Elephas maximus indicus: one gene and its partners. The protein of the gene in region 2 purifies or fractionates together with the protein of the main gene of each other region. This does not show direct contact. Links are inferred from orthologs where the notes say so. Each region holds a gene or a part of one and is shown on either strand. Other genes may lie near its edges. The genes, in order: MORF4L1, histone H2A.Z, SMARCB1 and ACTR6.

Region 1 (7,783 bases), on a different chromosome or scaffold from region 2:
ACTCTCAGGCTAGTGGGAGCATTAACCAGAACATGAAATGGGTGCTGCAGGGTTCGGATCAACTTTGGACTATGTAACAGTGCCTACAGCACCTCCAAAATGGAAATATCTCATGAACAGGTGCACATGTGCGAAGCCAAGGAGAGCTGGGCTGGAATCATCACTGAGTACTGTGGGCAATTTAACGTGGGGATACAGATTAGCTATAGTGCTAATAAGCAGCAGCACCAGAGATCAGATCTGCTTCCTAATTTCTCTCTTCAGATGCACTCTAAAGGTGTTCTGAAAATGGGTCTATCACAGGGTTTTTTGTTGTTTTGGCTGCTGCTGCTGCCAAAAATAATCACACTAAGGCTAAGGTCTTATGACCTCCTACCTAGTCCTGTATTTCTGCTGAGAACAAAATACAGAGCTGCTAGGGAGTATGACACATGATGACAAATGGCTGTTTTTCATGGCAACAGATTAGTAATTGAGTAAAGAGCAAAACACCATTCGGATGTGATTTCTTATGCCTTCCTCTGCTCCATCTTTTTCCTCATCCTTTCAAGCATCAAATTACAAGGGAAATTCTACCCAATGCTCGAGTTCAAGCTTGATGAGCTTCCAATTCCCCATCCTCCTACTGGTTTGTGCTTCCTAAGAACACTGCTCTCATGCCATCATCTGCCAGTCTCTTAACCCCTGACAATGGGCTGGACCCCTAAGTTTCCTTTACCCTGTGCTTTAATAGACATTCAAGTGGAAGACCAAGTCCAGTGCAAAGTAGTCACTGTGCTCAGAAATTGCTTACATAACATACTCTGTATCTTTATTAAACGAGAAACCTTCAAGAATCATGAAAAGCAATTAAAAAGGCTATTTCCACACTTTCATAATTCATATCCCTATTTTTTACTTCATAAACTGAACTTTTCCACTGTTTCAAGGTAATTGTTAGCATTAATATTCTTTTCAAAACCCTCTAAACATGTTTCATAAATAAGTATAACTTCTTAAAGATGATTCTATGATTCAGTATTGACTTCAGTAGAAAACACACCTGGAAAAGTAATGGACGGTAAGTGCAGAGACAACCGGCCTAACTTTCAAAACCTTACCTGTCCTAACCTTGGTTCCTACTCTCCTCCAATCCACCACTATAGCAATACACACATTATTTGCTGTTATCCACTTCACTCCACCATCTCTCAAGCTTAGAACTAAAGCATTTCCTCCAGAAAGCCATCGTTGACTGCCAGACCTCAATCGTTTTCCTCTTTCCATATCCTACAACAGGCCCCTCACAGGCTTAGGAAGTTTTTAAACGCATAGAACAAAGTATTACAAAGGAAACCAACTATACTGAAATAGTTACCAAATATTTTAAATATTATGTTCTGTGGTATTATATGTGCTCCTTAATGCAATAAACAAAATTTAGCTGTTGATCCAGTAATTACCATAATTTTGAAGTAATGGGGAGCATACATGATGTCTAAAGATATCTTCCAGAACTGTAATGTTAGGATATGAAAATATCTGAGATTTTTATTGGTAACAAAGTCATATTACTGCTAATACTACTATCGGTATTTTGTTTTCAGGGGGTCTACATTCATAATTGAAATACTAAGTGTTTTAGTTAGAAGGTAGAAAAAAAAAAAAGATTTTTTCCCCCGTCCGCGTTCACGGACCCTCTGAATTCCATAAACTGAACCTAGATTAAGCATTTTTGCTCTAAAGCACCTAGTAAGATAATAAATCCGTAAGAGGTACGGTAGAGCTAGCTTCTCAAGATGGGAAAAGGTAGCAATATTCATCAAAAGTACCCTTGGAAACTTAAACAGTCCTTAAAAATACTATATACTTGGTTTGGGGTAGATGTGTTGTTTGTGAAAATTAAAGAGCTGTCTACCACTGGAGATCAGGTTCTAACGCCAGCCAAAACACTTGTCCATCAAAAGCCAATTGATAAAAAAAAAAAAAAAAATCCAACTTCCCAATCACTGTTAATCAAAAGTTATTGCAATTAGTCAAATACCTGCTGCTTTAAAAACGACACCAAGGCAACGAGACTTATTATAAATGGAAACATCAGTAACACCGCATTAAAGTCATTTTGTGTTAACGAGCAACTGCACAGCAACAGCGCACACTCACACTCATATACAATCTTGGCACTCCAGTCTTAGGAAAGCAAAGTGATGCCTTCAGGCAACACAAAGCAGAGGAAAAAGCTATTTTTTTTTTTTTTTTTTGTCCCCACCCACCTCGCTGAGGTAAGCGGTAGGGAACGCTTATGGTTGTCGTGGATGGGGGCGCTGCAGCTGCCCTTAAGCAGCTTCTGCGGGCCCGGCCGAGACGCCGGCGGCCATGATGGGGCGGCCATTTTGCAGCGGCCATTTTACAACGCGGCTCTCCCGCCCCGAGGCACCAAACCCACCCCCCTGCCGCACCTCTGAGTCGCCACAGAAGGCGACCACCTCGGGGCTCGAAGCAGCCCGGCCTGCCTGCCGTTGGCCGCCCACGCAGCCGGCATCCCCGCGAAAGCGCCCGAAAACGACCGCCGTTAACTCCCCTCCCCCCACGCCACATCACTTCCCCTAACGGCCGCCATGGCGCATCCGTCGCCTCCCTACAATAGGCTGCTTTCCCCGCGCTCTTCCTCAGAACAATAACAAACATTTGACTAAGGTTCTGCCACGCGCAAAGCGTTCCCTCTCCCACTCGTCTCACAGAGCGTTTTTTCCCCAATGACGCACGAAAATTGTCCTCCGCAATGCGCTCTGCCTGCACAAAGCACTGCCTGACGCCTTCTCGGGGGGCAGCCCGTACCGCCCCCGACCCCCAAACCTCAACCATCCCAAGCCCGCCTCCCTCTCCCGAGCCGTTAGATGCACTCTCCCCAAAAAAACGGACTCACCCTCCTGGAATTTAGGCTTCGGGTCTTGCTTCGGCGCCATTTATAAGTGATTCGCCGCCTCCTCCTTCTCCCACCACCCCCGACTACCGCCCCCTACTCTCTACCCCACCCAACTCCGCCTCAGACGCGCCGTCAGGCACCGCCAACTCTACATCCTGGGCCCGATTTGCCAGCGCCCGCAGACCTCACAGCACCGCGACCAGCGCAGCCGCAGCTTCAGCCAACGGCTGCCCGCCGCGCACGCGCTCCTGCGCCGGCGCCGTCCCGGGGCACGCCGGGATTGGTAGTTCCAAGTCAGTTGAGTCGCGACGGAGTGGGGGGAGGGGCGGGTGTCTCTTTCTTCCCTTCCCCATCCCCCGCTTCTTATTCCCCACCACCCGTTCCTTACCTCCCGCCTCTCATTCTCCATCCCCTGGCCCATCCGGAGTTCTTAAAGCCTGGATTTGATTTTGTGTGTTGTTGCTGGGGACCACCAACAGTAAAAGAATGGGAAAGGCTAAATCCCATGGGCAAAATGAGGCTGCAATGATGTGGGCGTTGCAGTAGCCTTGCCCCTGAAACTCACTTTCAGTAGCTTTTCCAGAGTAGTAGGAAAGCTTTACGGGCTCTGGCGGGAAGGGGGTGGGAAATAGGGTATGCGTCTGGAAGATCACTGATGGTATATTCGGTGGAGCTGATAGCCAGGCCCCCTCTTCTCCAGCCCTGTTCCTGTGGCAATGAGGAAGAAGATGAAGTGGGAAACACTAGGCAGACTAGGGGATCGACCTTTGGCTTTTTGAGATCAATGGATTTGTGCCCGCCAAAAAACTCTAAAGTGAGTAATACCAAACACCGCCAAATTCGGGGTTCTGCACCTGCCCTATCATCTGTGCCATTTGTTGTCACCTAATTGCTTTGAGCAAGTCTTATTCAAAATACACAGAGTCTAAACAAACGGATTTCCCCATGTCGTTCCCCAGTACCTAGTTTGCTCAGCTACAAGATGGGAATGATAATAGCATCTTTTCAACCGATTTATTATGAGAATTGCACGTAAAGGCTTAGCGGCGTGCCTAACAGTGAATAACACAAAACACACACACACCCAAAAAAAACAGTGAATAAGCGCTCATTAAACATTAACTCGAGGATATATCCCAAAATCCTTAGTCTGGAGATTAATTTCCTTCCACACACAGTTCCCAGCTTATCTAGAGGCCTTATACAAATCCTTGTTTTCATGGCTTTTGTACACGATGTAAGAATTCAGAAATACAGAATACAGCACAAAATTTAAGGAGCCCCTTTTACTTTCCCCAGTTTGCTTCCCCACTATTTGGTGTATACATCTTTCTCAGCCCCAATTTTTTTTTTTTTTCTTTTACCATAAGTGGACTACACATATTGTTCTGGGTCGTCTTCTTTTTTAAATTAATAGTATGGCCTGAGGTCATTCCAATTATATATATAGCTGTATCTCACACCTTTAATACCTCATGACATATAGTATAAACCAACCCCAAAACCAAACGCGTTGCGGTCCAGTCGATTCCGATTCATAGCCACCCTGTACAACCCTATAGGACAGAGTAGAACTGCCCCGTAGGATTTCCCAGGAGCGCCTGGTGGATTCGAATTGCAGACCTTTTGGTCAGCAGCAGCAGCTCTTGACCTCTACACCACCAAGGGTTCCAGTCCAGTGTGCTAGTCATCTAGTGCTGCCATAACAGAAATACCACAAGTGGATGGCTTTAACAAAGAAATTAATTTTCTCACACTCTAGTAGGTTACAAGTCCATATTCAGGGCATTGGCTCCAGGGGAAGGCTTTCTCTCTCAGTCGGCTCTGGAGGAAAGTCCTTGTCATCTATCTTCTCCTGGTCAAGGAGCTTCTCAGGCGCAGGGACCCCATGTCCAAAGTATGCGCTCTGCTCCCGGTGCTGCTCTCTTGGTGGTATGAAGTCCCCAGCTCTCTGCTTGCTTCCCTTTCCTTTCATCTCTTGAGAGGTAAAAGGTGCAGGCCACACTTCAGGGAAACTGCCTTTACACTGGACCACGGAGATGACCTGAGTAAGGGTGGTGTTACAATCCCACCCTAATCCCCTTAACATAAAATTACAATCACAAAATGGAAGACAACCACACGATACTGGGAATTATGGCCTAAACCAAGTTTACACATATTTTTGGGGGGTACACAATTCAATCCATGACACATAGTGTAAATATACAATAATTTATCTAACCTCATTTCCGTTACTGGACATTTATGTTGCTTCCAATTTTTGACTATTAGAAACTTATGCCTTTGAGTCTGTATCTTCATGTACATTGCTTTTATTGTTTTAGGACCCCTAGCCGGAATCGACTTAAGGGCAAAGGGTTAGATGTAAAATTACTAGGTCAAAGGATGTGAGTATTTTAAACAGCCTTATGAAACGCTTCACCAATTTACATTTCAACCAGCAATTTAAGACAGAGCCTGTTTTCCCATATCCTTGCCAAATGTGGTATTATCAATCTCTAAAAATTTGTTTTAATATATCAAGAAGTCATGTTGTGCAAATGAAACCAGACACAAAAGAGTATATTCTTTATCAGTGCTGATAGAAATTAGGACAGTGATTAACTGGGGTGGAAGGGGAGGTTGATTGGGAAAGGGGTACTAGGGAACTCTGGGGTGCTGGAAATGTTCTAGATCTTGAGCTAGTATGCTTACACGGGTGTTTACCTCTGTAAAAATTCATCAACCTATACGCTTACAGTGAATACACTTGACCATATCTACATTATATCTCAATAAAAAGATCGTAAAGTCACTTTTTTTTTTACTTTTTATTATGAAAATTCCAAACACACAGAAGAGTAAAAGGAATAATACAGTATCTACCATCTCGATTCAACATAAAGGAATTGTAAACATCTTCCTATATGTGTGTGCGCTGTGTGTGTGTATGTGAAGACATCATGCCCCTTCATGCCTGACTTCTTCAGTATGCGTTTCCAAAATATAAAGGCATTCGTTCTCCTAATTACCACAATACTGTTACCACACCAAATAAAATTAACAATAATTCTCTGAAATCATGTAACTCACTCCGTATTCAGATTTCCTTAATTGTCCACAAAATATTTTTATATTTGTTTGCTTGTTTTTTCCAAAACAAGAACCATTAAATGATAGTACATTACAGACCTCTTTAATCTTTTAAAACCTAGACCAGAGGTTCTTAACCTGGGAGTCCATGGATATAATACAGAAGGTCCATGAACTTAGATGGGAAAAAATTCACCTCTTTATTTTCACCAAAATCTAATTTTTCATTCTAAATAAAGGTACCAAACTACAGCAGTATTAGCAGGACCTGTGGCTTTGTCACCAATAGAAATTATAGATGTTTTCATAGTATGTTACGGTTATTGCAGATATCTCAAATGTATTTTACGTTTATCACTAATTTGAAATAACTAAAAACTAGTAAGTAGCTACTAGACTTCCCGCTAGTTCTTGTTATTTAATGCATTAATAATTAAGCATATATATTACCATACCACCATATCACATTTTAAAATATTTTTGATAATCATATTTCAATATAATTTTCTTTATAAATCCTGTTTTTATTGTGTGTATTTAAAAAACACTATTCTGAATAAGAGTTCATTGGCTTCATCAGACTCCTAAGCAGGGTCCTTGGCACAAAAAGTGCTCCCCCTCACTTTATTAGTAGTAGCATTAATAACTGTTCGTGACATTGGCGTTTTGACTAGCTGACATTCTGGATTTGTCTGATCATTTACTCATGATGTTACATAACCTCTCTCCATTGTATTTCCTATAAACCGAAAGTTAGATCTAAAGGCTTGATTAGATTCAAGTTGAATGTTTTGTTGACTGAATATTGTGTAAAACCAAATCTATTGCCTTCAAGTCAATTCCAGCTCACAGTGACCTTACAGGACAGAGTAGAACTGCCCCATCGGGTTTCCAAAGAGCGGCTGGTGGATTGGAACTGCTAACCTTTGGGAGAGGAGCTGAACACTTAACCACTGTACCACCAGGGCTCCACTATAGATGATACATTATGCTGTCAACATAAGAAGGCACATAATATCTAGTTGTCCAATTATTAGTGATGCTAAGTTTGATGACTGGTTTAAGTCGTTTAAGACACTTTGTTTTTGCATTATCAAATGGTATTTCATTTCATGGAAGTTTTTCAACATAAACAAAAGTAGAAGGGATAGTATAAATGAACCCTGGTGTATCCTTCACTCAGCTTCTACAATTATCAACACATGGCCAGTCTTATCTCATTGGTACTCCCCCATTCTTCCTCCCAAAATATAAATACACACAAATCCCAGAGATCATGTCTATTTCATCCATTAATAATTTAGTATGTATCTCTAAAAAATAAGAACATTTTTAAGGCAATACCATTATTACATATAAAAATAAACAATTTCTTAATATCTTCAAATATCCAGTCAGTATTCAGATCCCCCCAATTGCCGCATACATGATTTTTAAGACTGGCTGTTCAAATCAGGTTCCAAACAAGGTCCACACATTTCATTTGATTCTCTGTCTCTTTTTCTTGCCATTTATTTGTTGAATAAACCGGACCACAAGAAATTTGCACACGTCCTTAAAATGTTTCCTTTATAAATTAATTGAGCATGAAGTCTTGGGATATTGTTACCGCAAATTGTGGGTTCCAGCCGCCTGTGGCAAAGCCAATACTGAGACAGGAGGAGGTAAGCAGCAAGAGAGCTTTATTGAATACTGGTATTTAAGAGACAGAGGGGGTTAAATTTCTCCCAAATTCTGTCTACCCTAAAGCATCGATGGGAGGGTTTTATATGGGGAAGACCAGGGTTACCTAATGTTTTGAGC
Region 2 (6,774 bases):
GGACATCATGCTTGGTAAAACAGGATCACTGAAAAAGTCGAAGACCCTCAATGAGATGGAATGACACAGTGCCTGCAACATGGGCTCAAACATAGCAACGATTGCCCAGCACAGGGCTGGGCAATGTTTTGTTCTGTTGTACAAAGAGTCACTGTGAGTCAGAACCAACTCAATGGGCACCTAACAGAGGCAGGTTATATATATACCCTACCTGCCCTCTCCCTCCCAGTATTATAGTACACTGGTATGATACCATCACACAGAGCAAGCACAGCAAATGTACAAACTGGTATAGCCACACCTTGGCCTAAAGGAAGTTTCTCCCACCGCAACTCGTGCCAAAGCTTTAAAATCTTTAAGAGCTCATTATATAGTATCAGGGGCAAAAATCATATTAGGGCCATCTAACTTCACTGATCAATAGAAGTAACAGTTTAATTCCCAGGTAAGAACCCTGTTTAGTCACTGCTGGATTCAAACAGATAAATTCCTATTACAGTTAAGCAAATTTAAAACACAGCTAAGTTTGGGATATGACCTTTATTGAGCTTATCCACCAGAGTGGAAATAATGTCTGTACAAAACCAAATGTTTGTTACTATAACTTCTGCATCACAATTAAAATCCAAACAGTTTTTTAAAAACAGTCAACTCAATCAAAACCCACTACTTCAGAATCAATAGCTTCTTTGAAGCCACAGTAACACTTAAATATGGTTAAGACTCGAATGCAGAAATTTGGTTGGTTGGAAAGCTAATTAAACTTCCAACTTGCTCAAATAGAATTACAAAAAGGCAAAATTGTGTTTGTCACAGAGATACAGTCCACTGGAATCACCAACACTGGACAGCTGTTAGAGTATTTAGAGTCCTGAGATAATAAGGAATCCAGGCATCCTTTAGACAGTCTTCTGTTGTCCTTTCTTCCCAATCAGAGATTTGTGGATGTGGGGAATGACGCCTAGAAGAGTGACAGGGATTAACTTGACATATATAAAATTTAAAGTCACATAGTATATAACCCAAGTAACTTATTGTTCAACTTGAAAGGTTTTTTAAAAAATATTAAGCTTAAATATGCAAAATAAAAATTCATTGAGTTAATTTACGTAAATCAAACGTCACAAATCTGCAACCATGCTGCATCAGTGAAAATATATGTATTCTTTTAGACTATAAAAGTAACAGAAATTAAAGATGCAAATAATTCTTTTCTCTAGTTACATACCACCACCAGCAATTGTAGCCTTGATAAGAGAGTCCAATTCTTCATCTCCTCGAATAGCAAGTTGCAAGTGACGAGGGGTAATACGCTTCACCTTTAAGTCTTTTGATGCATTTCCTGCCAGTTCAAGTACCTAGACAACAGAATCTATTTAATCTCCTTCCAACTTTCCTCAGGCCAAGATCCAGAGCACAAACAAGGCTTCATGAGGGTAAATCTACCCATTGTCGCTGCCCCCCCCCCCAACTTAGTGGCCAGATATGCAAAAGCTATAAAGGGGACACGCAATTATTTACAGCAGCAGCAAACTCAAACTCAATAGGATGCCTTGTTGAACACCAGCTCCCTCTAGCGTTCTTCGAGGCTTCTCGCCGCGTTTAGGGCCTGGGAGTTTTCTTGCATCACTTTCCTCCTTCCCTCTCACCTCCCTCCCCCCGCTCCAGCCTTTTCCAGATTATAGGCGTACACCCATTTACCTCTGCGGTGAGGTACTCCAGGATGGCTGCGCTGTACACAGCGGCAGTCGCGCCCACACGTCCATGGCTGGTCGTCCTAGATTTCAGGTGTCGATGAATACGGCCCACCGGAAACTTAATTTTAAGCACACATAAACATAAATGCACAAACATATAAGTCAAAGATAGGAAAATCATACGCGCGCCAAAGCAAGGAGCATGGGCGACGCTGGTGCAGCAACACGCTCCAGTATCAACACACGTGATCTCCTCCCCTTCCCGACATTTATCGTTATCGACAACCCAAGTCGCGACACCTCGTCGCCCACGAAAAGACCAAACGCCAGTCAAGAGCGATAATAAACAAGAAAGGACGGCAAAGAAAAACGCCACGACTCCAAGGCTGCACAAACAACTACTGACCTGCAAGCCGGCTCTCTGCGAGCGGGAAACCGCCTTTGTCTTGGCCTTTCCGGAGTCCTTCCCAGCCTTACCGCCAGCCTGCAGCGCGCACACGCCCGCGAGCGGAGGAGGAACGGAGAATATAGGATTACCAGGGCGGCGCGCCCCTCCCCCAACGCGGCGCGGCCCGGGCGCGAGCGCGGCCCCGCTGGGGTCTCCGGACCGCCGCGCGCCGCAGGGGCGACCCCGCCCGCCGCCGCGGCCGCGCGCCTTCACCAGCCCGCCCGCCCCCAGGGGCGTTGCGCGCGCGACCCAACCGTCGCCGCCCGCCACGAGACCGGAGGTGGCTACGCTCGCCGACGACAAAACACCTCCCCCCGCTCTTCCAAATCCTGTCTCCGCGCGTTCTCAACCGCCGCCACTTCACCCCCCCCATCCCCGTGTGTAACGGGTTTTTCTCCCGCCGGCAAAAACCCACGAAGTCGTCGAGCGCCTCTGCTAAGTTTACCATTTCGAAATCTGCTGAAGCTCAAACAAGCAAGGCAGAGAAAGGGCTAGTCAAACACCCAGCGAGATCCCGGCAGCTACTCCGTCGCACCGCGATTCAAACTGCGCTGTCTCCCGCCTTCCCCGCTCCCTTTATACTGCAGAATGTTCCCTCATCCGGGAACTCCGATTGCTCATCGCACCAATGGCTGCCACCCGCCCTCGGGACGCGTCCTTGAGGCCTCAGCCAATGAGCAGGCGAAGGAAATAGTGGAGGGGCGGGCGCTTCGCACTTCGAGCCGCGATTGGAGTTTAGGGAGGGAGGTGGGGGAGGGCGGAGGGACAGGAACGGGTAGAAGAAGGGCACGGCAGCAGGAGGGAAGAAACACAGCGAGCTACCCTGCGAGAGCGAGGAGACCAGCCGGTTGCGGTCACGTGTCTGGGAGGAGGAGCTGAGAGGCTCTGGGGAGGAGCACACAGTAGCGCCCCTTCTCCTAGTTTCCCTGAGGATCTCGAAAGACCACGTGTCGGGGTCTAGCGCTCCCTCCTGCCCCCTCCCACCGTGCCCTACCCGCAGAGACCTGCTGGGCTCTCCCGCTTTCCTCCGGGGGCCCTGGGCGCCCTCCTCTCCCACCCCTCCGCATCCCGGGAGTCTCCTCCTGTCTGACAGGTAGCGCGAACGCTTCGAGAGAGGGGAGCCGCGAAGTCAGCCCCGCTCACCCGCGACCCCAAGACTTGATAGAGCTGCCCGGTCTGTGTCCTAGAAGAGTCTTCAGCCACCGACTGATCACGACCCGCTGCTCCCACTACGTTTTCGGCGATGTCGTCCACACCCTCTTTCCTCACCACTTTTGAAACAGGATAGTTCGACGAGGAACAAACAGTGGAGCAAAGTCACTTTACTGGTCACAGAAGACTTGTCCACCTTGCAGGGGGCTTGAGGTGAGGCAGTATTCTCTAACCAAGAAGTATTGTTCTCGAAACTACACATCAGTGGGTTATACCAATAGCCTGGTGCCTGAAGTTGATTTACTGAAACCTCGGAATTATTATGTGTCAAGTTTTCTACACTAAAATTTTTGCTACATGACAAATGTTCAGTAAATGCCAGTAGGGTAACTCGAACATGATTCACAGGCAGTTACAGATGGTCCATGTAATCAATTGCAAATGGTAGGCTTAAAATATAGTACTGTACCCACAGTCCTATCATAATGCCAGCTACTTAGCCTTCCAACTAATAGATTAATAACACCTGTGTACATCTCCAGCTGCTTGGGATAGTAATGATATAAATCTTCAATACTTACACTGTTTAATAGCATATTGCACTTTTTAACATAATTGAATAGTTCTGATGTAAATAAAGATTTGAGATATATAAGCTAAAGTACTTTCGATTCGGTTTCAATTTGAAAGAAGAATTCTGGAGAAGCGGTTCCCGACAATTTTGACACCAAAAAAAAAAAAAAAAAAACCACTGCGGTGGAGTTCATTCTGACTCATAGTGACAGAGTAGAACTGCCCTATAGAGCTTCCAAAGAGCGCCTGGCGATTCAAACTGCCAACCTTTTGCTTAGCAGCCGTAGCACTTAACCACTACGCCACCAGGGTTTCCGGAGGGCCGTTTTATTATTTCTCCTGTTTGGAACTGACGTGTTCTTATGATGTAACCAATAAGCAAGAGTTAATCACCCCCCAATGAATTGATATAAGGGCAATTAAAAGCTAAGAAACCTGGCATAACAGATAATCTAAGCTCCACTGAGGATTTGTGAAATATAACCCACAAACCAGCATTAGTACCCTCTCCAGGTTAGAGAATACAAACATGTGATCTCTGTTACAAGACCAGGTAAAGGAATTTACTGTTGCCTCACCGAATAGTGGTTAAACGAGAATGAGCTGAGGAGCAGGTAACCTGAATTCTGCTCTGTCTCTACCTCACTGTTTGATCCTATTGCTAATCTTTTGCAGCCTTGACTTCCTCTTCCGTGAAGAGTATAGTAACACCTGTTTTCAGGTGGTTGTTGGAAGATTGGAAACCCTGGTGGCATAGTGGTTAAGTGCTATGGCTGCTAACCAAGAGGTTGGCAGTTTGAATCTGCCGGGTGCTCCTTGGAAACTCTTATGGGGCAGTTCTACTCCGTTCTATAGGGTCACTATGAGTCGGAATCGACTCGACGGCAGTGGGTAGTAGTAGTAGTAGCAGTTGGAAGATTGCAGCCCTGGTGGTGCAGTGATTAAAAGCTTGGTAGCCAGTTGGAATCCACCATCCGCTCCTTGGAAGCCCTATGGGGCAGTTCTCCTCTGCCCTGTAGGGTCACTGTGATCAGAATCAAGTTGTTGGCAAAGGGTTTGATTTGGTTTTGGTTGAAAGATTAAGGAAGAAGGTATATAAACTATAGCATGTGTTTGGCACACAACAACTGGAAGAAGCAGTACTCAATAAATATCTTCTACATTGGATGCCGGGGAGAAGTGAAATCAATATTTAAAGAATTTTTAATTCCTAAATCTTTTTTCCTGTCTAGTATACTGTCTTCCTTGGGTACAGAACCATCAAGCTTGAAACCTGCCCAAAGTGTTATGAGTCGGAATTAACTCCACGGCAATGGGTTTTTGTTAAGGTGAACAGGACAGTTACAGTTTCTCAACTTTTCAGAGCACTTACGTGATGATTTTCTACTCTCCTGTCCTGGGGTAAAAAAAAAAAAAAAAACCCCGTTGCCATGGAGTAGTGACCCCATAGCGACCCTACAGGACAGGGTAGAACTGCCCCATAGGGTTTCCAAGGAGCAGATAGTAGATTCGAACTGCTGTCCTTCTGGTTAGCAGCCAAGCTCTAAACCACTGCGCCACCAGAGCTCCATCCTGGAAAAGGCAAGTTGCAGATACATTAATATTCTTGGCTTTTCTTTCTTGTTCTTGTCTTCACGCTACTGTTTATGTATGGCCATTCTTTTTATTTAATGTCACATGCAATTTTTTTTATTTAATGTCATGTCAACTTAGCTACTTAATAAATGCCCTCTAGTCATTAAAAATAAACTGAAATGAAGTAGATATTCCTGGTATTATTGACTCTTTCCTTAATAGCCGTTTCCTAACTCTAAGACCAATTATTATTTCCTCTCAAACACTAGCATGTACTTTAACTGTTGTTTCTCTTGACTTTTTATGTAGAAAATTTGATAGTCCCACACTTGAGAATCTCAAATTTTTCAAATACATCTTGTTTTAAACACCTATTTTTCTGTTATTTCAAAGGCTAGTAGTCTCAGTAGATAACAGGAACTTAGCGTCAGAATCTTGGTTCTCTCTACATAGGGCATTCAGGAAAGAACATGCCTTAAAAAACTCAGTTGTCAATACCTGGTTTCCAATTATTAATTTTAAAGTAATCTTGTTATTTTAAAAATATTAATTTTTAATAATTATTTAGTTTTAATAGTTTTATATTTAAATTTAATATTTTAAATTACTTAAAGTTATTATTTTAAAATTAATTTTTTCAATAACCAACATATCTCAGAAATTTTGAAGGAAATTTGATGGTTGTTTTAATGTTAAGAATCAAGTATCTTTATGTGTTAATAATCGTTTTCCCAAATAAAATTTCATATATATTTATATTTCCTATATTTTGTAACTGATCTCCTCAGCTGAATTGTAAATCCACAGGCAGCATGAAGCCTCCACCACCACAAGTTTCTAACACAATGGCAAGAAGATTGCTGTAGACATTTGTTGTTGTCGTTAGTGGCTGTCCAGTCGATTCCAACTCACAGTAACCACACGTGTACTGAGTAGAACTGCTTCCTAGGGATTTCAAGGCTGTGACCTTTGGAAGCAGATTGCCAGGCCTGTCTCCCAAGGTAATTTTGGGTGGGTTTGACCACCAACCTTCAGGCTGGGAGTTGAGCACTTAACTGTTTGTACCACCCAGGGACTCCTAACACATTTTTATTATTGTATTGTCTTCTTTTATCTGTATATACGCAACTGAGATGGAACGCAATACCACACATCATACATAACCCCTGCCAAATAATGGAATACACATGATACATTCCAAGTTGGTCCTGTCAACCTCTTAGGTAAAATAGAGCACACTCAATTGTATTACATGCCAGGTGTCTTAGTCATCTAGTGCTGCTATAACAGAAATACCACAAGTGGATGGCTTTAACAAAAATTTTTTCT
Region 3 (7,080 bases), on a different chromosome or scaffold from region 2:
GCCAGGTGCTGGCTTCCTTGGAGACCCTGATTGCTTTCCCTTTCTGGGTCCCTCGACTCCTCGGTCAAATTTTCAGCACCGTTGAACTCAGTCCCACAAAAGATCACTGCTATGACTTTTCCCACTTTACCCACCCAGCATAGTATATTTATTAAGTGAAAACGAGTTTCTCCACATTTCACGAGTAAAGATGTGTATAAGCATCAACCAGAGTCTCTGTGTAGCATGAGCCCCTCCTGCTTCAGATAGAAAGCACAGATGCCAACCACTGAACCTCCTGGCCTGTGTGTGCTGGTGCCACCCAAGGGTAAGCACAGAATTCCCATGAGGTTTTTGAAAAGAAACTGACCACAGTGTCCCCCATTACTACCCTGGAGGTCCCTCGGGACTCTGGGACTCCTCAGCCCCTCCCAAGACCCCTTCAGGCGACTGTCCTCCTGGGTTTTCCCTGAATCAGCCCTGGCCCTCTATGAACCCAGGTGTCCCAAATGTCAAATGAAGGTACTAGGCTTAGTGATTTCTCAGGGTCCTCTCAGCTTTGTGACCTGGCCTGGTGACTATAGCTGCCTGTAGATGGCGGGAGAATAAGGACACGCACTCACAGCAACTGCAGATGCCACCCAAGGCAGCTCCACGGGGTACCGCACAGGGCGTTGGGGGTGGGGTGGGATGTGACCATGGCTGGCCTGCCTCTCTGAACACAGAGTCTGTTTCCAAGGGCAAGGGGTCCAAGGGCCATCTATCCAACAGTCACCAGAGCTACTGAGTATCCACAGATAGCATTCTGCTCTTGAATCCTCCCTTGAATGCCAAATGGCTGATGCTTGTTAAGCCTGGCCCAAAAGAACAGGTGTAGGCCTCTCCCACTTGGGGCTCTACAGACTGGACCAGGCACAAAGGGACCCTCATGAAATCACTCTCACTCAACAAGCTGGGCCAGGAGCAAACAGGCTGAAAGAAAAGGCTGCTGTTAGCTTTCGAGAAACCTAAAGTGTGTCACATGGAAGGTCTTCGAGACCATGCTCACTATATAGGTGACAAAAATGATGTAGGCGGAGGAGGCTGGAACTAGGCCTCCAATGGTCTTCCCACCTGGCTGCTGCTTCTTCCCAATTACTTTACGCCACCGAATCATGGGAAGCTTTCTTCTCAAGAGGACCACCCACTCCAAGTCAAGGGCATTGTTGTTATTAGGTGCTGTCAAGTCAGTTCTGACTCATAGCAACCCTATGTACAACAGAACGAAACACTGCCTGGTCCTGCGCCATCCTCATAATCGTTATGCTTGAGCCCATCGTTGCAGCTACTGTGCCACTCCATCTCGTAGAGGGTAAGCGAAAAGCTAACCCTCTAATTTACCATTAGGTCAGGTAAAGATTTATCCTTAAACAGCTTGCACCACGGCACATTCGGAAACTCCTTTTTGAGCCCTGAATGTAGGTGGGTGCCGACCAGCTGGTGAGGCCCCTTCTGAGCAGGGGAAGATGGACAGAAATTGGCAACATGTCCGCAGCTAAGCCTTCTTTGAACAGCAGCACTTATGTGATAACATGAAGAATTTATTGCATCCCGCTCTCCTGTTTTATAAAAACTGGTGAAACATTAAAGTTCTGAGGTAAGCGACAACACCGGCCTCACAGACTAAGACAAGGTGGGAGTCATGAGGGGTCCTGACAGCCTCAGCGTGACAATCACAGGTTTGATTCTTTCATGCTATGCTCAGTGGTGAAGAAAAGGAAAGACACTTTAAAAAAAGCATGAATGAGATGTTGGAGTATGACACTGAAACCTGCTACAACAGAGAAGAGACCCTTGGCATTTTGTGGTTGTGTTCGCACTCCAAGATTGGCACTTACCTTGTCACATAAGAAACTCAACGGTGTGACATGTGCACGTGTAAACTTTATTTACACCCATCAATTAAAAAAAGAAATATATATTAGTTGGGTACTGACTTTAGGTGAGAAAAGACTAATACGAGGCAATTTGGCAAAACTTAACGTAGTACAAACCCCCGTTAGATGGGGCGGTTGTAGGATTTTCCTAAAGCCAGTTCGCCAGCTGGCTCACAGTACTGTCGCTTCGAATTGAGGATTAAAGAACAGAACCTTCTCCCCTTAATAATTCAGGTCAGTCCGTTCACAAATCTCCAAAACGTCAATTGCTTCGGAAGTGCTGAGAGATGTCCCTCCTACAGAGTCGCTATGAGTCGGAATCGACTGACGGCAGTAGGTTTGGCCCACCTCCGCGGCAACGAACACAAACCGGCAGGAGCCCTCACTAAGCCCCAGGTTTCCAACCCGCGATTTCAGGATCTTAGACGGAACAATGGGGGCGGGGTGCACATGAGATTGTCAACATCTCAAAAGACTTAAGGGCAACATTGTGACCCCTTCATGCACCGCAGGGACTAGCCACAAAAAACAACCCACAACACCCCTTTTATTTGCGTCTTTGCTGGCGCTGGACCAGCTTAGGCGGTCCCCTGGCACCTCGCAGGACCTAAGCCATGACGCGGGGTGAGCCCCGGACCACGCGGAAACCGAACGCCAACCCAGAACGCCGAGAGCCCGGGGCGGAGCCTGGGCAGACCACACCCCCGAAAGGCCTCGCCCCGGCCACGCGCGCGCGCCCGTCGCGATGAATGGAGACGGCCGCCCCCCGCGCGCAGACCCGCCCCGGGCCTCCTGCGGGGCGGGGTGGGGCGAGGACGCGCCGCGGGTACCTCGGAGCCGATCATGTAGAACTCGCCGTCGTCCTCCAGCTGGAACTTGACGGGCTTCTGCCCGAAGGTCTTGCTCAGCGCCATCATCATCATTGCGGCGGCGGAAGCGGGCGGCCGGGGCCGGGCTGCGAAAGGTCGGGAGGGCTGAGGCGGGGCCGGGACTAGCCGCGCCGCGCCGCGGAGAACCGAGGCCGGGAGGCGAAGGCTGGGCCAGATTTGGTGCTCGCGTCGCTGTGGACTTGTCAGCCTCCGTCGCCGCCTAGGCCGCTCTCCATGCGCATGCGCGGGCGTTGACGCAGACGCGCGCGCCACCGCCCAGACAAAAGATCGGGGCGCGCTCCCCTCCGGCTCCTTAAAGGAACCGTGACCCGTTTTTCTTCTGGTTGCCTCCCAAAGTCCTGGTGCATTGAAAAGCTTCTAGCCGACAGAAAATAGCAGCTGAGGGCCTGACTCAGGCGGTGGCTTCCAAGTCTCACAGGAAGGACTGGAACTCTGCCCAGTGGAGGAGGAATGAAGGGGGACCTGAAGGCCAGGAGGAGGAAAGGACTATATCTGGAAACCTGGCAGTACTTTTTGAATCTAGGCCAGCCTCAGTTTCCCCACCCTGAAGTACAGTGCTGCCGAGCAACTAAGAGGGTTCATGAAAACAAATGTGCCAGGTCCACACCCAACTGGTTCTGCGGCTGTGGGGGTGGGTAAAATGACAACAGTGAAGTGGGGATTGGCATGAGCAAAGGCCTAGGGGCCTGAATGTAGCTGCATTTGGTTTGGCTGGTGTATCAGATGAGTGTGGGAGGGGAGTGTCAAAGAGTAAAAACTGTACATACTGTTAATGTAAAAGTAAAGAGGTTTATTAAAGGCAAGGTACAGTTTTGTTGTTGCTCGGTGTGGTGGAGTCAGTGCTGACTCATAGCAACCCGATGTACAAAAGAACAAAACACTGCCTGGTCGTGCACCATACATCATCGTTATGCTTAAGTGCGTTGTTGCAGCCGCTGGGTCAGTCTGTCTTGTTGAGAACCTTCTTCTTTTTCGATGACCCTCCACTTTAACAAGCATGATGTTCTTCTGCAGGGACAGATCCCTCCTGATAACATGTCCAAGTATGTGAGACTAAGACTTGCCATCCTTGCTTCTAAGGAGCATTCTGACTGTACTTCTTCCAGGATAGATTTGCTTGTTCTTTTTGGCAGTCCGTGGTATATGCAATATTCTTCGCCAACACCATAATTCAAAGGCATTGATGCTTCCGGCCTTCCTTATTCACTGTCCAGCTTTCACATGCATATGAGGCAATTGAAAACACCATGGCTTGGGTCAGGCTCACCTTAGTCCTTAAAGTGACATCTTTACTTTTTAACACTTTAAAGAGGTCTTTTGCAGCAGATTTGCCCAATGGAATGCATCCTTACATTTCTTGACTGCTGCTTCCATGGGTGTTGATTGTGGATCCAAGTAAAATGAAATCCTTTAAAACTTTAGTCTTTCTTCTCTTTATCATGACGTTGCTTGTTGGTACAGTTGTGAGGATGATTGTTTTCTTTAGGTTGAGGTGCAATCCATACTGAAGGCTGTGGTCTTTGATCATCAGTGCTTCATGTCCTCTTCACTTTCAGCAGGGTTGTGTTACCTGCGTGTCGAAGGTTGTTAATGAGCCTTCCTCCAGTCCTGATGCCACGTTCTTCTTCATATACTCCAGCTTCTTGGATTATTTGCTCAGCATACAGATTGAATAAGTATGGTGAAAGGATACAACCCTGACGCACACCTTTCCTGACTTTAAACAGCGTTGTACTCCAGGATCTTGAAATGTTCTTTTGATGATGAATGCAACTCCATTCCTCTTCAATTCGTCATTCTTGGCACAGTAGACCAATTCAAAATGGCCAGTACCAGTCCATTTCAGCTCACTAATGCCTCGGATATCAATGTTTATGTGTTCCATTTCATTTTTGATGACTTCCAATTTTTGTAGATTCATACTTCATACATTCCACATTCCAATTATTAATGGGTGTTTACAGCTGTTTCTTCTCACTGAGTCATGTCACATCACTGAGTGAAGGCCCTAGAAGCTTGACTCTATCCTTGTCATTAAGGCTGACTCTACTTTGAGGAGGCAGCTCTTCCGCAGTCGTATTTTGAGTGCCTTCTAACCTGTGGGCTCATCTTCTGACCCTATATCAGACAATATTCCACTGCTATACATAAGGTTTTTACTGGCTAATTTTTTTCAGAAGTAGATCGCCGAACTTCCTAGTTTGTCTTAGTTTGGAAGCTCAGCTGAAACCTGTCCACCATGGATGACCCTGCTGGTATTTGAATACCAGTGGCAGAGCTACCAGCATCACAGCAACACGTGAGCCCCCACAGTATGACAAACTGACAGATACGGCGCGGGGGGGGATACATTTTAAACTGGGGAAACATTAGATTTCACAGAGTGAAATCTAAAGCCTCGAAGAGTTACAGGCATCCATGCAATATTTATATTGTTAAACCAGGAACTAGCAACATAATACTCTGATTGGTGCTTAAAAAAACCCATTGCGGTTGAGTCGATTCCGACTCATAGTGACCCTATAGGACAGAGTAGAACTGCCCCATAGTTTCCAAGGAGCGCCTGGTGGATTCGAACTGCCGAATTGGTTGGTTAGCAACTGTAGCACTTAACCACTACACCACCAGGGTTTCCGATTGATGCTTAGTGAGGTAAAACAGTTGAGGGTGGGATATCTGGAAATGGGGAAACTTTTCTGATTTGTTCAAAGGCTAGATGTGGGTTTTGTTTTGAGAACAGGTGGTAAAGATTAACTTGCTTAAGGGAAAGTTCTTTGGAGAACATTTTACCCAATGGGGTTTGTTAGCTCCCTCCCCCTAGTTTCACGTGTACTTTTGACACTGGTAGCCTAGCTCTGGCTTATAAGAAGGCAGTATGTACTCAAACTTTATAAAAAACAGAAAAATCAAAATGTGGCTAAGACAGTTGCAAGATCAGAGAGCCATGACTAGAAGACTCCTGGAGTCTTGGAAACATGTTCATTAATCTCGTTTCCTGAGAGGACAAATTTCAAGTATTTTAATAAGCCTGATTACCTAAATACAATTATGTGAAACTAGACAAGTTGCTTCTAAAGGTTAATTATAGTTTGAGAAAAACATTTGGTATTTCAGTAGCCTACACAAAGTTTAACTGTTGCTAAGGAAAAAAGCAGGACAAGCGAGAGTCTGAAAAGATACAAGATGGAGTTGGGCTTAAACCTGAGCCAGCCCCCCTCAGAAGTATCAGGCACCCTAATTTTAAAATTTCGTACATAGGAGGGACACCTCTGTTCCTGCCTCCACTCTGGTGTGTGACTACAATAAGCCCAGCGGGTATAGGTGAGTGAAACCAGACAGCCCTGCTGAGTGGCATCAGAGTATTGGCTGTATCCCTCGGAACGATCTACTAGGCTGAAATGGCCTGATAGCAGCATCTGGTTCCATCCTAGTGGCCTTGCTGCTGTGGTAAGTGCTATGAAGAAGACACATGTGGGGCTGGGCAGCGTGGGCTGGAGATGCTGGAGAGTCAGGAGGGTGGGCCGTGGTCCCCCTGAGCCTTGTTCTGTGTCCTGACAGCAGTGGGAAAGCAAAGCATTTTAAAATAGGGGCAAGGTGGGGCATGATCTCATAAAATGGCTATTTCGTGGAGGACAGAGGGGGCAAGCTTGGAAGCAGGGAGCCAATTAGAAAGCCACTACAGGTGTCAGGAGTCCCCAAGTGGTGCAAACAGTAAACGTGAAAGTTTGGAGGTTCAGGTCCACCCAGAAGTGTCTCAGAGAAAGGCCTGGTAACCTACCTCCAAAAAAGCAGCCATTTAAAACCCGATGGAACAGTTCTATTCTGACACACATGGTGTCACCTTGGGTGGGAGTCCACTTGACAGGCGAGGCATGATGGAGGATAAACAGGAGGCGCCCTGAACACTAAACCCAGTACCTGGGACCAGAGGCTTGGGGCAGGCAGGCTGCAGCCTTGCCTCACAGTGAGGGAGCAAGGCCTCCTGCACCAAGGCCAACTCTTTCCCTGCCTAGCCATGCTGCCACAGAGAGACACCAGACAGGCAGGTAGAAAACGAGTGTGTTTAATGACAGTCCTTCAGTAAAAAAGGCTCTGTACACACTGTACACAACACATTTACAGGGCTTTGGGGGTCCCAGGGAAATGGCACTGGACGAGGGCTGTAGGAGCATCCATCTGGGACAGGAATGAGGTATGTTGGGGCCTCCAGGGCCAGGGGTGTCCAGCAGGAAGCACCTCCCCCTCCCCAGCTCACTCTGGTCCTTTTGGCCTGGATCCCAGGGAGCAGAACTCCA
Region 4 (8,017 bases), on a different chromosome or scaffold from region 2:
ACGTAGTCAAGAATATTTTATCATGAAAATAAAAGTGAGATAGTGAGTTGGTCTAATAAAATTATTAGAAATCTGAAGTACGATTTTAACCCTGAGTTGCATACAGACTTTCTCTGTTCAACCTCTTTAGAACAGAAATTCTATTCACTTACATTTAGAAAATCAAAGCCAGCTACACTAAATTACAGTGATTTAAATATATACTAGAAACAAATCTGTAAGTCTATAAATCTTAAAACGTAAGTTCTCACTTCTCATTTGAATAAGACATGGAAATAGAGTTTGAATACATACTCCGGTCTGTTACCTGATACATTTCTTTTCCAAAAAGATAATCCCAAACTTGTCTCTGAACATCCCAGTTTACCAAGTAGCCCTAAAAAAAGTTACAAATCATCAAGAGTATCTGAACAATTTTTAAAAATCAAAGATTAATATATTGCAAATCATTGATTTCTCTTTATGCTTATTTTCTCCAGTCTAATGCTGTATGAATTACAAACAATCATATTGGCATGCTTTTCTCCTTTTAAAGGTCAAAAACATTATACAAATTATTAATACCAAACTTTCAAGGGTTCAAAAGACAGACCAATATGTACAGATGCCTCTTTACACTTATTTTTTTACATTAACGCAGTCAGCTCATTTGGCTTTTAAAATAAACAAGATTCAGTACCTGAATCAGTAACTAAATGATGGTCATTTGTTTTTATCAAGATAATTTAATTTCACTTTTTGGTTTTAACAAGATCTTAGTTAAAATTTAAATCACCTTTTCTTAGAGATCTAAAAATGTTCCCATACATACTTACTAAGTCTCATAAATTGAGATCTACAGTGCTAGAAATGACACATAACTGGATTACCTTCTGAAAAGGAAGGATGTAAAAGAGTCCAGAAGGGTCTTTAATTTCATCTATCTGGTTAGCAGTAAAGGTTTTGAGACGTGCTGTTTTTGACCTAAACTGACAATTAGGAATAACCCTATAAACAAAAAACAACAGAATTATTCCCAAAACACTTATTCCCCAAAATACATTTACTGATGCCAAAATTAATACACTGGAAATCTGTGTTTCTCATTCTGTCTTCAAATAAAAAAAAATCCCCCCCTTTTTTTTAAGGTTCTAGTATGTATCAGGCTCTGTGCCAGACCCTTGGTCTTTCGCAAAGTAATCCTCAAGAAATCTTTACAGGCGGGTATTGGAATCGCCTTGAATGGTTGGTTGTTGGTTACTGATTCCACCACTGCATAGCTGGGAACCAGGATCCAGGTAAAGGTGCTGGTCTTTCCGGCTTTCATGTGGAAATCCTTTCAACCACTCGGGTAAAAGAATCGCAAGTTCAAAATTCTGGCCATAAAATTATTTCCATGAAACCAACGTTTTTCAGTATGCAAGATGCCACAAGGTACAGAAGTAAGTAGTTTTAAATGACTTCTGCTCACCATGAGCTTACAGTCTGGTTAAGGAAGATAAACTACAGCCATTATCAATCACACACATACACATAGATGAGAACACTGGGATAATACTGTAAAAATGTTTTGTACCTACTTATTTCACCTACTACACTGTCAGCATTTTCTCTGTATGTTTAAGAATTCTTTGAGCAGAATATTTTAAGAAGTTGCATTGTATTCAATCTTAGGGCTGTATAATTTAACCAACTTGTTATTCTTGATTACTTAGCTTGCTTCCCTCCCCCTCCCCTTTTTTATTAATTTGCTACCATACGCAACATCTATAAAGAATATATAACATCCTTCTAGTTATTTTCATCAAGCACCTGTAATTAACTCCTTACGTAACTGACAAGAAACAGAATTGCCACATCATAGGATACAAACAATGATACACATCGCCAAAATATTTTCCAGAGAGACTGTACCAATCTACATTCCTAAACAGTTGGACTGCCTCCTTAAAAAAGAAAAGACCCCGAACATCCTTTTAGCTCAGGAATGAAGTCACTTCTGAGGTTCACTCTTCAGCCAAAGATTAGACAGTCCCATAACACAAAACGAGTCCAAATGGGCACACCAGCCCAGGAGCAGGCAAAGACAAGGAGGCAGGAAGGGACATGGAAGCTGGTAACGGGGAACACAAGGCCGAGAAGAGAGAGTGTTGACATGTCGTGGGGTTGGCAACCAAAGTCCCAAACGATATGTGTATTTTTTAATGAGAAGCTAGTTTGCTCTGTAAAACTTCGTTTGAAATACAAAAAATAAATAAATAAAAGAAGCAAAGGAGAGGGTGTTTTTCCAAGTGTCCAGAGGGACTAAATACAGAATCTTCAAGGTCTCTAGACATTAAGAAAATGGTTTTAGACTTTTCTGGGCCACGGATCCGTTTGACGATCTGGTGAAAGCTATAATCGCGTCTCCAGGAGAATGCCTACACATCCAATATGCGGCCCACAATTCCCGAGGATTCATGAACTTTGTTTACAGATCACTCTGTCAAGAAAGGAGTCTTGGTGGCGCAGTGGTTAAGGCCTTGGCTGCTAACCAAAAGGTCAGCCGTTCAAATCCACCAGCCCTCCTTGGAAGCTCTATGAAGCAGTCCTACTCTGTCCTATATGGTCGCTGAGTCGGAATCGACTCAACGGCAACGGCTTTGGTTTTTTTCGTTTGCTGTCAATAAAAGCTTCTCTAGAAGACTGTTAGGTAGGCTATTTCCTGTTACGAACGGAAACACACATCCTTCTTCCGGGGCAGCACAGCCCAAAGTTAAAAGCAAAATCAATTCCAGTTCAAAGCATCCCTACCCCCACACCTCCAAGCCCAGTATCCCTTTGGCTCAGGTTAGGGCCGCGCAGGGGCGCCTGCAGTTCACCGATGTCCTAAGATAAAGCCTGGCGTGTGAAACTACGTAAACACTTACGAGACATTTTCACGACTGTAACCGATTTTGGCGTTGTAGGCTCCGTTATCCAGCACCAAGGTTGTCATTTTAGCACAAGCACACACCCACTGCTACGGCTTTCCCTTCCCGACCCTTCTGTTCACTCTTCTTCCGGCTCTCTGTGGTTTGCTTGGGCGGGACGTTAGGACGTGTTTCCGGTCTCCTTAACAACGGAGGACGCCGGAAGCCAGAGACTGGACGCGGAGGACTGTGTCCGCGAGTGTCATACTATGCTTCTAAGCCTAACTTGTTTAGAGTGGTGGGGAGATCTGACAAGATTGGAAACGGCTAAGTGCCTTTCGCCCATTGCGTATTTGTCCTTTACTTCGCAGATCGACTTACTCATGCAAGTTTCTTGTAACCCTTGTAGACAGCTTTTTTTTTTTTTTGTCTTCAAATAGTATTGTTCAGACAGTAACATTCTTGAGGAATAGAGTGCAAAACCATACGCACTGTGAAACTGTGTATGAGATCTCTCCATTCTCATCCCCTTCCACTCCCTGTGCAACTGAAAGATCCACCCACTGTGAATCATACATGTGCTGTTCTGTAAACCCGTCTTGCTTTCTTCCTCACACTTGCACTTCCACTCACCTCTTTCCTGGACTATGCCTACTTGCTCTTCAGGACAGAGTTCACGCGTCTTTCTCATCTAAGAAGGCTTCTAGACATTTGACACTCTCCCTCCTCGTTCCCCTTCCTGGAATTAGGCTCCCGTCCTATGGGATCGGTATGAGTGGGAATGACTCCACGACAGTGGGTTTTTTGGTTTTCCTACGTGCTGCTGTAATAGTCCGGGCTAACCCCTGTATATCATAACGGTTAAGAGGATCAGTTTGGGCTTCACATCCAGACTCTGCCACAAAATGGCTGTGTAACCTTGGGTGATGATGATGATAATGGTTAATACTTAGACAACATTTACTGCTTGCAGGTGCGCTCTTCTAAAAAAATTTTTTTTTAAGCTTCTAAAGGCTTTATATTTTCAACATCTCTATGAGGTAGGTTGTTGTTAGGTGCCTCGGAGTTGATTCCAACTCATAGCGACCCTATAGGGCAGAATAGAACTGCCCCATAGGGTTTTCTAGGATGTAATCTTTGCAGTAGCAGATATCCAGTTCTTTCTCCCCATGAGGCAGGTACTATCATTGAAATCAAAGAGGTCGTGGTTAAGAGTGCAGCCTCTGAAGTCAAATTCTTGGGTCAAATCCTAGCACGTTAGTTAACCTCTCTATGCCTTAGTTTCCTCATCAGTAAAATGGAATAATATTAATAATATTCCCTTACACAATTGTTTTATGAAGAGTAAATGACAAATTCAAGTACCTGGCAGTTATATCATCATCATCGTCCCTTACCATATGATCATCCTCTGTTAACTTGCTTAGATGGCAAACTCCTTGGGATCAGGCATAATATTTTATTGGTGTGTATACGTATCCCTTTGTAGGAGCCCTGGTGGTACAGTGGTTAAAGCCCTCATCTGCAACCAGAAGGTTGGCAGTTCAAACCCATGAGTTGCTCCATGGGAGACAGATGTGGTAGTCTGCTTCCGTAAAGATTACAGCCTTGGAAACCCGGTGGGATTGTTCTAATCAGTTCTATAGGGTCACTGAGTCAGAATCCACTGGAAGCAATGGATTTGGTTTGGTATATCCCTTCCTATTCAAAAGTTCGTTGAATGTCCAAAGTTAACTGTGTCCAAATTTACTCTATTTAATCTAATGTTAAAGTGGTAAGATGACTTACTCCAAACACGTAAAGACTATTTTATCAAACTTACCTTATAGAGCAGCTACCATTTCATTTCTCTCTCACCTTTCAAAATGTGCTCTTTCAATCCTGTGTCTCTCCTAATTAGCTGTTTCTCAGTTAGGCTTCTCATTTTCTTTTCCTCGCCTGCTTACATACTCCTTCATAAAGATCATTCTTGGCTCTGGCTTCAGCTATCATTAAATACTAATAAATCCTAAACCAGAATTTCCACTACCAACTGTAACCTGAATGTCTCCACCAGTATATCTTGAAGAAAGTTTAAATGCAACAAATCTTATCTCCAAAACTGCTTATTCCCCTTATATCAATTGGTGGTGTCTCATCCACCTAGTACTCTAAGCTGTTGTTGTTTGGTGCTATCAAGTCGGTTCTTACTCATAGCAACCCTAGGTACGACAGAACGAAACACTGCCCAGCCCTGCCCCATCCTCATAATCACTGTTATGCTTGAGCCTATTGTTGCAGCCACTGTTTCAGTCCATTTTGTTGAGGATATTCCTCTCTTTCACTGACGTTCTACTTTACCAAGCATGATGTATTTCTCCAGGGACTGGTCCTTCCTGATAACAAGTCCAAAATATGTGAGACGAAGGCTCGCCATCCTTGCCACTAAGGAGCATTCTGGCTGTACTTCTCCAAGGCAGCTTTGTTCGTTCTTTTGGCAGTCCATGGTGTATTCAATATTCTTCACCAACACCGTAATTCAAAGCCATCAGTTCTTCTTCAGTCTTCCTTATTCATTGTTCAGCTTTCACATGCGTATGAGGCAATTGAAAACACCATGGCTCGGGTCAGGTGAACCTTAGTTCTTAAACTGACATTTTGCTTTTTAATACTTAAAAGAGATCTTTTGCAGCAGATTTGCCTAATGCAATATGTCATTTGGTTTCTTGACTGCTGCTTCCATGGTCATTGATTGTGGGTTCAAGTAAATGAGGTCCGTGACAACTTCAGTCTTTTCTTCATTTATCATGATGTTGCTTATTGGTCCAGTTGTGAGGATTTTTGTTTTTCTTATGTGAAAGTGTAATCCATATTGAAGACTGTAGTACTTTATCTTCAACAGTGTTTCAAGTCCTCTTCACTTTCAGCAAGGAAGGTTGTGTCATCTGCATAATGTAGGTTACTCATGAGTCTTTCTCCAGTCTTGATGCTCCGTTCTTCTTCATATACTCCAGTTTCTCGGATTATTTGCTGAGCGTACAGATTGAATAAGTATGATGAAAGTATACGGCCCTGACCTACAACTGTCCTAGCTTTAAACTATACCAAACCAAAAAGCCAAACCCAGTGCCATCAAGTTGATTCCCAGTCATAGCAACTCTATACAGTACCCCTTAATCTGTTCCAACGACTGCCTCTTGGTGTACATACAGGTAAATCATGAGCACAATTAAGCATTCTGGAATTCCCATTCTTCACAGTGTTATCCATAATTTGTTATGATCCATGCAGTTAAATGCCTTTGCATAGTCAATAACACAGGTCAACATCTTTCTGGTGTTCTCTGCTTTCAGCCAGAACCCGTCTGATATCAGCAATGATACCCCTTGTTCCAGGTCCTCTTCTGAATCTGGCTTGAATTTCTGGTAGTTCCCTGTCGATGTACTGCTGCAGCCACTTTTGAATGATCTTCAACAATATTTTACTTGCATATATTATTCAATAATTCCCTCATTCAGTTGGATCACCTTTCTTTGAAATAGGCATAAATATGGATCTCTTCCAGTCAGTTGGCCAGGTAGCTATCTTCAAAATTTCTTGGCATAGACAAGTGAGTACCTCCTATGCCCTAAGCTAGAAACCTCAGTTTCCTTCAACTCCTATTCTTGACTTAATCTCTGGAATCTGTCCTTGATCTTCTTATATTCTTACTAATATTTCCTTATCTCTCACCTGAAATAATGGCGGTGCCTTCCCAACATTCTTTGCACCTCCATTCTCTACTTATTCTGATCCATCCTCTGTACTGCCAGCATAATTATCAGTAAATATTTTTCTAAATAAAAAATCTGATCCTCCTCCTCAACTCACCCACCATAAAAATCTTCTGTGACTTGCCATTGCCTACAAAATAATGTCCGTATATTTACATTTACAATCTTATCCCCTTCCACTCACTTTACAGCAGTGTGCTGGTAAATGTTTAACAACCAAATCTCCACAGGAAAAAGTCTCCTGACTTATGATGTTCGCTAATTTCTGTAAGTTAGTAAATACGGTCACCATTGGCTGATTTCAAGGTACTGCAAGGTCACCGAACATGGAGTTGGTAAGAGAGGCACACAGTTGTCTCTCAAGAGCTTGTGTGAGCTGGATGGAACACAAAATGTTTGGTAAAAAGTGCCTCTCTTCACCTTCACACCAGGTTTTAGCACAAATAATTTTGAGCATTTAAGTATTATTCTTCAAATGCTTGTATATTCTGTCAAGGCATAATTTTAAGAGTTAATAACATGACTCTTATGTAAATATGTAATGAACATGTGTCACAGATTTATTTAACTCGTGTTGATGAGTGAAACAGCTTTCCACTTTGTAGGTTCTCATCTTGCTGGTTCCCACAGTAATATGAGCTAAATAAATCTTTAATGCCTGTTCATTATATATTTGTATGACAGACACTTTTTTAACTTTTTGAAAATTGTATTTTATTATAATTCTAATTAAATAGCAATAAAAATAACTTAATTTAAAAGCACTATTGAATTTATGGTGGTTTTGTGATATTTAGAGCCAACTTGATGGCACCTAAGAATAACAATCCAGGGAGAATAGAAGTGAAACTATTATCATGGATTTTGTCAACAAAAATATACTATAACTACAATGAATTACTTGTGGATTTCACTGGTATTTGTTACATTGAAAAGGGGCCCACATGTTGTTCTAACCACATCATTAGGCCACTTGCCACTTATAGAAGTCATAAACTTTTTCACTTCTATGCTTTTTCATAATGGTGTTCCATCTGCCTGAAACATCCTTTTTTGCCTACTGAATTTATAATGGAGTCCCTGGATGGCACAAACAGTTAAGTGCTCAATTACTAGCTGAAAGGTTGGTGGCTCAAACCTGCCCATAGGCGCCTCAGAAGACGGTTCTGGAGATCTGTTTCCGAAAGGTCACAGCCTAGAAAACTCTATGGAGCAGTTTTATTCTGCACACATAGGGCCTCCAGGAGTTAGAATTGACTGGATGACAACAAATGACAAGATTCTACTGTGTAAGGCACCCTGCTAAGTACTTTATCTTCATTAATTTAGTTAATCCTGACAACAACCTCATAAAGTAAATAGCACCACAGGGCTCAGAGAGGCTCAATACTTTTC

What was found.
Region 1: the proteins of histone H2A.Z (region 2) and MORF4L1 purify together in Homo sapiens (affinity purification with mass spectrometry; 4 studies listed by BioGRID and IntAct, with this or other methods). This does not show direct contact. The link is inferred for Elephas maximus indicus from reciprocal best matches to the Homo sapiens genes H2AZ1 and MORF4L1.
Region 3: the proteins of histone H2A.Z (region 2) and SMARCB1 purify together in Homo sapiens (affinity purification with mass spectrometry; 3 studies listed by BioGRID and IntAct, with this or other methods). This does not show direct contact. The link is inferred for Elephas maximus indicus from reciprocal best matches to the Homo sapiens genes H2AZ1 and SMARCB1.
Region 4: the proteins of histone H2A.Z (region 2) and ACTR6 purify together in Homo sapiens (affinity purification with mass spectrometry; 4 studies listed by BioGRID and IntAct, with this or other methods). This does not show direct contact. The link is inferred for Elephas maximus indicus from reciprocal best matches to the Homo sapiens genes H2AZ1 and ACTR6.

Annotation. Positions count from the first base shown.
Region 1 is NC_064831.1:68,715,167-68,722,949, reverse strand, and holds the start of MORF4L1 (mortality factor 4-like protein 1), read right to left. Parts: upstream 3,006-7,783; 5' UTR 2,946-3,005; coding exon 2,906-2,945; intron 1-2,905. UniProt on the Homo sapiens protein: Component of the NuA4 histone acetyltransferase (HAT) complex which is involved in transcriptional activation of select genes principally by acetylation of nucleosomal histones H4 and H2A.
Region 2 is NC_064823.1:53,184,896-53,191,669, reverse strand, and holds histone H2A.Z, read right to left. Parts: upstream 2,728-6,774; 5' UTR 2,594-2,727; coding exon 2,591-2,593; intron 2,182-2,590; coding exon 2,104-2,181; intron 1,816-2,103; coding exon 1,702-1,815; intron 1,359-1,701; coding exon 1,229-1,358; intron 962-1,228; coding exon 900-961; 3' UTR 516-899; downstream 1-515. UniProt on the Homo sapiens protein: Variant histone H2A which replaces conventional H2A in a subset of nucleosomes. Nucleosomes wrap and compact DNA into chromatin, limiting DNA accessibility to the cellular machineries which require DNA as a template.
Region 3 is NC_064840.1:22,469,650-22,476,729, reverse strand, and holds the start of SMARCB1 (SWI/SNF-related matrix-associated actin-dependent regulator of chromatin subfamily B member 1), read right to left. Parts: upstream 3,006-7,080; 5' UTR 2,819-3,005; coding exon 2,726-2,818; intron 1-2,725.
Region 4 is NC_064822.1:166,283,613-166,291,629, reverse strand, and holds the start of ACTR6 (actin-related protein 6), read right to left. Parts: upstream 3,017-8,017; 5' UTR 2,957-3,016; coding exon 2,889-2,956; intron 988-2,888; coding exon 870-987; intron 377-869; coding exon 308-376; intron 1-307. UniProt on the Homo sapiens protein: Required for formation and/or maintenance of proper nucleolar structure and function. Plays a dual role in the regulation of ribosomal DNA (rDNA) transcription.